Linked DNA regions of Danio rerio. The protein of the gene in region 1 purifies or fractionates together with the protein of each later gene. This does not show direct contact. Links are inferred from orthologs where the notes say so. Each region holds a gene or a part of one and is shown on either strand. Other genes may lie near its edges.

Region 1 (5,346 bases):
GAGTACTTTTTTTGAGATTTGAACAAATTTGTGTGTATTGAGCATCAGGTAGGACAATGTTAGCATCTGTTAGCTTTAATTGTGGGGAAAACTGGATAATTTTTTGAGCTTTTGTCAGCTAATTTCAGCTTCCGGGTTTAAAATGATTTTTGGGGCAGGATCAAAATTGGTTTCTCATGACTATTCCTAGTTTTCTTATGCTATAAGAAGAGCCAGCTTCTTAATTATTTATGAGAGCATGTGCTTTCCGAAGGCAAGGCAGACCTGCCAGTGCCAAGCTGTGAGATCCTACGTTGATGACTGGGTAAGACGCGTCCATGGACCCACGGCACACAGTATTTAGCTGTTCATGAAGGGTCGTATGTGTTTGTTTCCTTGATCCACAGGTTTTTTTTGCATGTTTTTTCCCCGCGACCCTGTCAGGGACTATACAGCAAAGCTGTGTGTGCTGCAAGCATTTTTGTCAGGAGAGCAGTACGAGAATTGGAGAATGGTGGACTTTATCTTTTATCAGGAGTCCATTCACATTTAGACACATCAATGTGCTGCTGTGTTTGCCTAAATCCTCTAGATTATCAGCTGGGCTAATGGTTAAATTAGACAGGGCAAGAGACCTGCTGCACTGAGTCTGCATTCAGACCCGGGGATTGAGGGAAAAGTCTTTATTTATAGTGTTTATATGAACACGATTATCTTTATAATGATATAAATTGTGGTTATGTGTTTATGGAATTACAAATGTAGCAAGGCTTAAATTACTGTTTATTTCTTTGCATTTTAATGCCTCAACCATCTCAGTATTAGTGTTATTATATTGTTAATGACCTCCAGAATCAAGAGCTTCTGTGCTTCGTGTCTGACACCTTCAAATGCCACCGCGCATTTACTGAGTGTCAGGATTGTGTTCTGAGGCGCCAAGTCATCTATTAGATGAAAAGATTGACGCAGCTTCTCCCACTGCAGCAAATTTAGTTTTTACTGTTGGTGTTTGGTGCCAGTTAATTTTTGTAGGCTTTGACTAGTTGGATGGAAACGCTGCTTTGTTTGCGCGGCTTTTATGAGATAGTCTAGTTTTACACATAAAGTTCATTCGCATTATTGGATGGAAACATACCTGTTGTCAGCTTTGTTCTCTTCACTACTTGTCATGTTTACTGTCATCCATTTAAACGTACAAATTTGAACTGGTAAAAACCGGTGGAGATCGTTGCTCTTGTTTGCCACTAGTACACGTTAAGTCAATTAAACTCAAGTTTATTTATATAGTGCTTTTTACAATAATTGTTTCAAAGCAGCTTTACGGTTAATCAAGTGGGCAGTACACACAACTGTTAGCTGTTACATAAAACATTTATCATGAATCTATTCACTTAAAATCCCAACTGATTGGAATTGTCACACACTTGCATCAATTTTCAACCCATTCCCCTGAGTCATTACATCCCTGATCATGTCTTTTCTGGAGACTTGCGGATCAAACTAGATGAATCAGTTTGGTTTATATATTACATATTAGCTGATACTTAAGAGCAAAGGTTTTGATGTCCAAAGTTATATTACATAATAGTGACATGTATTTAATTGACAAAAATAATGACATTTAAGTTGCTGTATTTTGATCAGAATCTAGTGTTCATTTCAAATGCTAAACATAGAGATTTTTTTGTTTTTATCAGGACCGAGAGCGGGAACGAGATCCACGTGAGCGGCACCGTGAGAGGGAGCGGGAGCGTGAGAGAGACCACCGTGAACGGGAGCGCAGACAGAGAGAGCGAGAGAGGGAGAGAGAACGGGAACGGGAGAAGGACAGCCGACGTAGGAAGGATGAATGGGACAGGGATCGTCTGAAACGAGACGAAAAGGAGGGAAGGCCGAGAGAAAGACCTCTTCGAGAGCCAAGAGAGAAAAAAGACGAGAAGGAGAAGACGCTCAAACCACGATCGCCCACAAACATGCCACCAAGGTGAGTTAAAAAAATTCACAATACTCTCAATTGGGATACTAACAAAGGAGTCATAGTGTCTAATGCTCGTTGCACATTAAAAAGCAAAAAAATCTGTGCAGATTTATACCAGTTTGTATAGTATAATTTGCTATGTAGCTTACTTGTGCGCAATTTTTGAATCTGAAAAGGAGGATTACAACACTGTAAAAAATTATTGATGCTTCAACTTTTTTGTCATCTCAACTTGCATTTATCTTGCATTTTTTTTATTACAACTAAGTTATGCTATTTATCATTTGTTTTCTTATTTATGAATTTTTCTTATTATATTACTTTGTCTTGTAATAAAAATGCAAAAGAAACAAAAATTGGAAGTCTTTCACCATCAAGCATTTATTTTCTTTCTTACTCAATTAATCGCATCAAAAATTAACATCTGTATCCTACAAGAAACTTGGTTTAACTTTAAAAAGTTTTGTTTGATTTGATTAACTTATTAAGATAAGTTAAAGCAACATAAAAATATTTGTTTTGACTTTTTGTCATTACATTTTTTTTTACAGTAATAGCTTTTTTGGGTTAAGTTCATAGGTAGATAATATTTAGAGTTAATTAATTGTTTCTTCAATGCAGACGCAAACAATTTGGTATCGGTTCAGTAACCGTACACAATTCATTGCTTATGAGTACATCAGAGAAGTACATCAGAACCCAGCTAGGAATAAATAAAAGCTGTAAACTCTTTTTCACTCACTCTCTGTGGCCGCTTTGACCTGCTGGCATGATCATGAGATAATGTTTTATCTCCTTTTTTGGCTGTTACAACATTAACCAGACTTCCGAGTTTTACACAAATTTTTTCTTGTGATTTATTTTTCATTTTATTTATTTATTTATTATATTTATTGCAATTAAATATGACTATATATATATATATATATATATATATATATATATATATATATATATATATATATATATATATATATATATATAATTTACCATATTAGGCAGCCTGCTGTGTTAGGTGTGCAATCTTACACAATGACACAAATTATAAAAAAAAAGCTTTTTTTTATTTTGGTCTCAGACAAGATCAGATCTAAAACAGTAAGGATTAAGCCAAAGGAAGGTTGTATAACTCTTATTTTAGCCACAATCTTAGTTTCTCTCAGATTTCACTCCCTAGAGCATTTGACATCATCTCGCTCCCGCGAGTTATTTGGAAATAAATTCCCGCGCCGCAGAAATCTGGTCGGGTCCCGCATGATCTGCATGATCATGCTCTGGTCGAATGCAGACCTCTAGTCTGAAGTGCATCAAATGCAAAAAAAGCACAATTTGTGCCACAGGATGTCTAATCCAATCTTTGCAGTGACTTCACATGTAAATCACTCGCGCTTCATCCACATCTGCTCACTGCACAGGCTGCAAAATAATTTCTCCCCCACTCCCATGTAATGAGAGATACTCTAATACATCACGTGTGCTGCGTATGCATTGTCTGTAAGTCTTGTAAAACAATTAATTGCAAACTGAAATAAATATAATTTGATTATATGAATGTTTTATGAGATTATATATGTATTTTTGCGAGTTTTATTTTGCATTCAAATTAGGAATTTTGCAGGATGAGGATTCAGCAATTGTGGAATCAAGAAAAACTAGGGGGTCTGAATAACTATACTTGTGGATCCAGATACGAGCGTGTCTGCAGATCGGGCTTTCTCCTCTGCTTTGCTGTTTATAGGGGATCAGCTGATCGCTGAGGCCGTTTAACATCTGTGTCTGTCACTGTTTGCTAAAAAGCGCAAGAGCCAAAAGCAGCCCTTTCTGTTGAATGCGTAATTAATCACAGGCGTTTAAGAACTCGCTCAACAACGCTCAAAAAGCAAGCGGGATATTATTTACATTAGTATATTTGCTATAACTGCTCGTGTTTTTTTGTGCATGTTCTTGAGTTTTGCTTGATGCATTTAAGAAGAGTGTTTTCTTTGAGCAGATAAAAATTAAAGGTGCAGTTCATATATCTGACTGCTTGTATTAAAGGACAAAATTGTATTATAAATAATATATAAATATAAATTTATTCATAAATTATAAATGTTTTGTACAAGAATTCATGTATTGCTAAGTAAAATATAAAACTGTGGATGGAAAGCATCGTCAATGCACCGTGATGCACCAATATATCGAATTGAACTAAATTGATGGCATGATCATCATAACCAAACCATGAGACCAGTGTAGATTCACACCCCTAGTTGATACTTATTTTTTAATGGATTCATAATTTGACTACAAAATCCTTTGGCATTTTGAATTCATTCGAGTATCTGTTTTGTTTTATGCTGGTCTGTCAGATTTTAAGTTGACACAAGCTGTGGTTTTGGATTTGCATGAACACCATATTGGTTCTTTTATTTAGAAGTGAGAAGTGCAGAAATAAGCTACAGTTTTGATGTGCTAATTGCGAGTATCTGCATTTGTGGAACTGAGAGTTCATTACAAATTGAGGAGCTAAAGACTGTTGTTACTTTCACTGTATACAGCAAGCTGTTTGGAAGTTCATGGACTCTGAATCTTCCAGCGCTATGGTCTTTCCTGACATTATCACAATAGTCTTTTCGTGTTTCCCCTCACACACTAACTTCTTTATCAATGTGCTGCACTTGCATAACCACAGACTCAGATTGCATGTTTAGATTATGGTCACTTTATGGGAAATTTCCAGGTTGTTTGTATCTCATGGCTACACCATTGTTGGTCATGACAGGTCAGCTCTTTTTTTTTCCTAGATAGAAAGAGATTCACATTTCATTAATGAAGCCAAGATTCCACAAAACATGGGCAATATTCCATCTTGTTTTTCCAGAACACCTCAAGGGGGGTCAATGATCTTTTTGTAAGCCTTTTCCAAGATACTGGTATGGTGTCATTTACCAGTCTGAGTAGAGAGAAATTCACACCTAATTGATTTGACTTCATAGAACCTTGTTGTGTCTCAAATGACTCTTATCCCATTTCTTGTGAATGTAGTAATTAAGACAGCTTGGGTAGTTTGCAGTATTGACTAAATAAATATGTATTGGGTTATACATACGGGTTAAATATGGATATGCTTTTTAACAATAGTAGCTATTGAAACAATGTTTTGCTTATTGCTTGTTTATGCTAGTACCTCAGCAGTTTTAAGCCTGTCATGGATAAATATGACACTAAAGGGCCCTGCATGTGCATATAAAAAAATTGCTGAGAAACGAAAAGGCAAAGTTTTGTTCCAAGTCAGTTTGGAGGTAAAAGAGACTAAATTGTGTACTATTAAAGGGCGAATTCACCCAAAATGTTTTTTTATTAGTATTATTATTCCCCCTCGTGTTATTTCAAACCCCTGAGACCTT
Region 2 (5,346 bases), on another chromosome or scaffold:
TATAGAACTTAATGCAGTGTTTCTTGTCTAGTCTGAGGACCTACTTTATATTGTATTTATCAGGCAGTAAAGATCACAGATTTTTTTTAAGAAGAAGAAATCAGAACTTAAATGTGGCAATTTTATAGTGGAAGAATAGTTCACCAGAAGCGCTGGGGCTGGCTGGCTTGCTGAAATGAAAAGTCTGTGCATATAACCCATTTATTTAATTTTCCTTTTGAAAGTGCTAATCATCGCTGTAGTTAAGGCTGATACAGACATTTTTATGCTTACACTAAAAACTTTTTACATTTGACTAGACATTGACACAACATTTTACCACAGAGATAAGATAAAATAATATTTGATGAGAGAACACCCCCTCTCCCTATATCTAATATGAATCTATTTGAGCTAATTAAAATCGTGGCAGGTTTGTTATTTTAAAATTTGTGAAATTAGTTTTTGTAAAATTTTAGTCCAGTGTATGATAAAGGACGTATTTTGGTTCAAACTGTTTTTTTTTATTATTATTCATGAGGTTGTCTTTTTAATATGAGTGATACTTGAGTACAACATATTTACAGTTTGCAACATATTTAATGAACTTTCAGACATTGTCATTCTGATTACCGATTGAGCTTAAATGTGAATTTGTTTAAACTTTTTTTGTACTTTAATGCCAGACAAATCTTTCATATTTGAATCATGTCACTGTTTGTACCTGTTTTACATTTTTGATGTGTTTTTTCCGATTGTATGCAAAACAGCTTCTGAGTTTTCCTGTGACAGCTTCTATTATGCTGTACTATTTTATGTTTATTATTGCTTTGATCAAACTTGTAGTTTTTCAATGTACATATGTGATGTTGAGACTGAAACTGCCTATAAAAGCAGTGACCTTCAAAGGGGAACTTTTATGTAGGACAGTTTGAAAAAAGTATCTCATTCCAGTGAAGTTTTAAATGCACATTTCATATTCTATATGGCCTGTTGTATTATAGTTACTTTTTATATCTGATTCAATTGCTTTTCTATTTGATTTACCTGCAAGGCTTTGCAATAAAACTTCAATGTTTAATTCCTTCAAATCTTTTTTAAGGCCCAGTCTGTTCACTTTCCTTAGGGTTTTTTGATCAATTCCTTTCTTGGTCACAAGTAATTAGCCTAATGACTATGAAGCTATACTTATTGTTTTTTCAAAACTAATTAACTCATATTTATTAACTGGTTATGATCTAGTTAAACATAACATGTAATGTTAAAATTAAATCAGGACTTAATTAAAAAACAACATAACAAAAAAAAAATAACACTTTCATGTGTCATTTAAAATTTGGTAGTAATTGTTTACGTGTTTAAATTATTTTAACTTTACACATTTGTCCAGTTTCTCACTGATGGGCATGATAAAGTTGTGCCTTGACGTAGTGGTGAACCCCTCTTTGTTTTAATGTTTTTTCCAATGACAGATTGATTCTTCATCCATTTCACTGGCCCTGCTTTCAAAGGTATTTTAAACTTTGTAACTACCTGATACACTCTGCTGTGTGTTATGTCATTGTTTTAGATTGGGCAAGCCACAATATTGGCAAAGTGTGCAAAACTTTTTTTTTTTTTTACTTTGTCACATTTGTTTATATGGTGTTATGTGAAATTTGTTGTGTAATGTGAAATTTTATGTTTTTCAGCAACTTAATTAAAATTAGTTATATTTCTGTAGTATTTCAATACTTATTTTAAATGTGTGTGTATATTGTTGCGATTTTTTTTTTTTTTTTTTTTTTTTTTTTTTTTTTTTTTTTTTTTTTTTTTTTTTTTTTTTTTTTTGGTACCTGTGTAAAAGCCTGGTCCTGTAAAGAGTAAGCACACTGCCTTATATCAGTGTGTATTGGAGAACTGTATAAGCCTCTTGACCACATTGTGGTCAAGTTGCACCCTGAAATCCTTTTTTTAATCTTTTTTTTCTTTTTTCACATTTGAGAGCCCTGCATCACTTGTTGTTCAATGAGCAATCTTAGGAAGTCATGTTCTTCATTTTTCACTCCGAAAATATTTACATGTTAACCATTGTTTTTTATATTCTTCATGCAATGACAAAAAAAAAATAATTACCAAGATTTTGCAGCATTTGCATATATGAATTTCAGACCAATGCCCTGAATATTTTTGGTGCTGTGTAGTGGTTTATGTCATGACTTAGTGTGAAATATTGTTCATTTCGCACCTTCAAAAGAGATCTACTCATCAATAAAACCGAACCATCATAAAACATCTCTTAAACCACTTTTAGTTCATGAAAGTAGCCAGTGTTGAGTCTTGCATGAGACTTGGTAACTCTTGATTATGGCTTTTTTTTTTTTTGCTGGCTTGCTGTAGTTAAAAAATTTTTTTATGCATTTTGTTTCTCATTTTTATGGTCTGAGGTGGTGCTCAATTGCCATTTTTGTACTTTTAAATAACACACTTCTATAAAGGCATAAAGCTGCTTCTTACAGGACAAGGTTTTTGTATGTATTTGGTCTACTCCGTTGAACACTCCAACATTTATTTTATTTTTGAAAACATTGCCTGTTAAACAGACAGCCAATCTTGCTGAAACAAATGCATCAGAGGAAGACAAAATAAAAGCAATGATGTCTCAGTCCAACCATGACTATGATCCAATCCAGTAAGTATGCATGTCAAGACACTGACAGGCTTTTTTAATTGGTTTCAGAATCAATTCTAACATTAATCTCTATTTGTTAGTTATGCAAAGAAGCTTGTTGGTCCGCCTCCACCAAACTATACATGCTTTCGTTGTGGGAAAACTGGACATTACATCCGAAACTGCCCAACAAATGGGGTAATTGGGTTTTCATTACCACAGCTTGTAACTTTGCAATTGTTTTGAATTTGGCAGTGCCAACTGTTGCTCCAGACTTATGTCTTTTTTTTTTATACCATTAGAATTTATCGGAGATTAAATTTAATCTTGAGTATCAATCATGCTTTAGCAGGATAGAAGTTTTGAAGCTCCTCAACGGATAAAGAAAAGCACAGGAATACCTCGGAGTTTCATGGTGGAGGTTGATGATCCAAACAGAAAAGGTGTCATGTTGACAAACAGTGGAATATATGCCATTCCTACTATTGATGCGTGAGTATGCTTGGCCTTGCTGTAAATGATTGTGATAATTTCTTGTTTACTTGTAGTATACTTGTAGTTTACTTTGTAGTTTTTAATTATATTTTGCTTGCTATGTATAGTGAGGCCTATGCCATTGGCAAAAAAGAAAAGCCACCATTCTTGCCCCAGAATCAGTCCTCATCCTCAGAGGAAGAAGATCCAGTACCTGATGAGCTGCTGTGCTTGATCTGCAAGGATCTTATGACAGATGCTGTGGTTATTCCCTGCTGTGGAAATAGTTACTGTGACGATTGTAAGTGTCTATATCAACAAATGTCAAAAAGGTAAAGTGTTTTTGACCTTGGAAAGCTAAAACTGTATTGTGACCACAGGTATTCGAACATGTTTGCTGGAATCTGAAGAACATGTTTGTCCAACCTGCAAACAATCAGATGTATCCCCCGATGCCTTGATTGCAAACAAATTCTTGCGCCAAGTAAGATATCCTTGTTTTAATTGTTGGTTAGCACATGTCTCTAGTTTTTATCTAATATTGCAACATTAAGACGACTTTATCATTCTTTTTTTTTTTCAACTTAAGGCAGTGAATAACTTTAAGAATGAAACTGGATATACCAAGAGGATTCGAAAAGCTACAGCTACTCAAGCAGTTGCTCAAGGAGCTCAAAAACAAGCTCCTGCTCAACGTCCTCCTATGAGACGCCAGCAGGATCCTCTGATACCCAGTGTTCCAAGCTCAGCGGCTGATAGCACCCCTCCACAAAGCACACCTGCTGCCCCTTTATCTCCTGTTAGCACTCACGAGCCTTCCAGCACCCCACCTTCTTCCAGCAGCTCTACTGTACACAGCAGCACTGCACCTGCAGGGTCAAACTATAGTCCTGTGGTAAACTCTCCTCCGCACCCTACTAGGCAGGATGACCCTCCTCCATCCAAGTAAGAATTTTATAGCACTTCAGATGATCGCTTGGTTGTGTAATTTGTGAATGACTGGTTTTACCTTTGGCTTGTGCAGTTATTGAATTTTTACCCTGTGTTTTTCAGAGAACCAGAGACCCCACCATCTGCTGTTATACCTTCATCTGAGACATCTATGTCTACAAATTCTGCTGTTCCAAAGGTATTTTTTCCTCCTTTTAGTATGTGCTTTTAAAATTACTAATGCCAGAGGGGAGTACACTAACTTTGAAAGCCACAAACGATGTTGAGAACATAAGTACTGCAGTTGTAAAACAATAAATGTCCTGATATTTCTGATACAATATGACCTATGTCAGTTGACCCTCTTCTATAAGCACAGTTTATTGATTCCTTTTATTTGTATTATCTAGGGATATCATGTCCCTGTAATTGGAAAACCGAGTTTGCCTCAGCAGCACATGCACAGACCAGGTAAGATGATAACAGCAAGTCTTCTGATATTTATTGTCTGTAGACAATATTTAATTTGTACATTTTTTTTAGGACCCCAAAGGAGTAGTGGTCAAAGGCCATCTGGAAGTCGTTCTGGATGGGATCCGTAAGTATCAAAGTGTAATCTAATACATTTTAGTTTTAAACAACAAATGTGAAAAATCCTGACTTTTATTTATCCTACCAGGTCCACGAGTAGAGGTAGACTTCAGAGTGAGAGGCCACCAAGAATACAGCCTCAACCAGTGCAAAATCTTCCTCCTGTAGTCCCTCCAGTATTTGTGCCCCCTGCTCTTTTTCCACCTCCTCCACATCCTATGCCACAGCCACCTGTTGTTGTTTCTCAGCAATATCCCATACAATTTCCTCAAGGACAGCAGCCACCACCTCCTTCCTTCAACATTCCTCCTCCTGTATTTCCTCCTGTTCCACCTAATGTGACTGCTCCATGGGTGCCTCCTGGCCCTCAGCCACCTATAGCCAACCCTATCTCTGCTATGCCAGCTGCACCTTTTCTATCCAAGGAGGAGTTTTATCGTCAGCAGCGTCGATTGAAGGAGGAGTAAGTAGTTATTGGGTTTTTAAGTATTGTCTGTAGAGTATTATTCTTCTTTGCCCGTGCTTATTGTCATTTCTGTTGTAATGTATTTCCAAGGTTTAACTGCAAAGTTTTATTTCCTTCCTGTCTTTGATAAATAGTTCCCAATGTCGATTCGTTACCAGGGAGAAGTCCAAACTTGAGGAGTTCACCAATGACTTTGCCAAAGAGCTTTTGGAGTATAGAAAAATCCAGAAGGAGAGAAGGCGATCCTACTCGAGGT

Evidence for each region.
Region 2: the proteins of zc3h18 (region 1) and rbbp6 purify together in Homo sapiens (affinity purification with mass spectrometry; 3 studies listed by BioGRID and IntAct, counting the BioPlex papers as one, with this or other methods). This does not show direct contact. The link is inferred for Danio rerio from reciprocal best matches to the Homo sapiens genes ZC3H18 and RBBP6.

What each region holds. Positions count from the first base shown.
Region 1 is NC_133193.1:18,511,671-18,517,016, reverse strand, and holds part of zc3h18 (zinc finger CCCH domain-containing protein 18), read left to right. Parts: intron 1-1,676; coding exon 1,677-1,963; intron 1,964-5,346.
Region 2 is NC_133178.1:34,269,949-34,275,294, forward strand, and holds part of rbbp6 (E3 ubiquitin-protein ligase RBBP6), read left to right. Parts: intron 1-1,451; coding exon 1,452-1,490; intron 1,491-2,561; coding exon 2,562-2,650; intron 2,651-2,730; coding exon 2,731-2,827; intron 2,828-2,978; coding exon 2,979-3,121; intron 3,122-3,231; coding exon 3,232-3,404; intron 3,405-3,483; coding exon 3,484-3,587; intron 3,588-3,692; coding exon 3,693-4,048; intron 4,049-4,156; coding exon 4,157-4,232; intron 4,233-4,443; coding exon 4,444-4,504; intron 4,505-4,576; coding exon 4,577-4,631; intron 4,632-4,712; coding exon 4,713-5,087; intron 5,088-5,224; coding exon 5,225-5,344; intron 5,345-5,346. UniProt on the Homo sapiens protein: E3 ubiquitin-protein ligase which promotes ubiquitination of YBX1, leading to its degradation by the proteasome.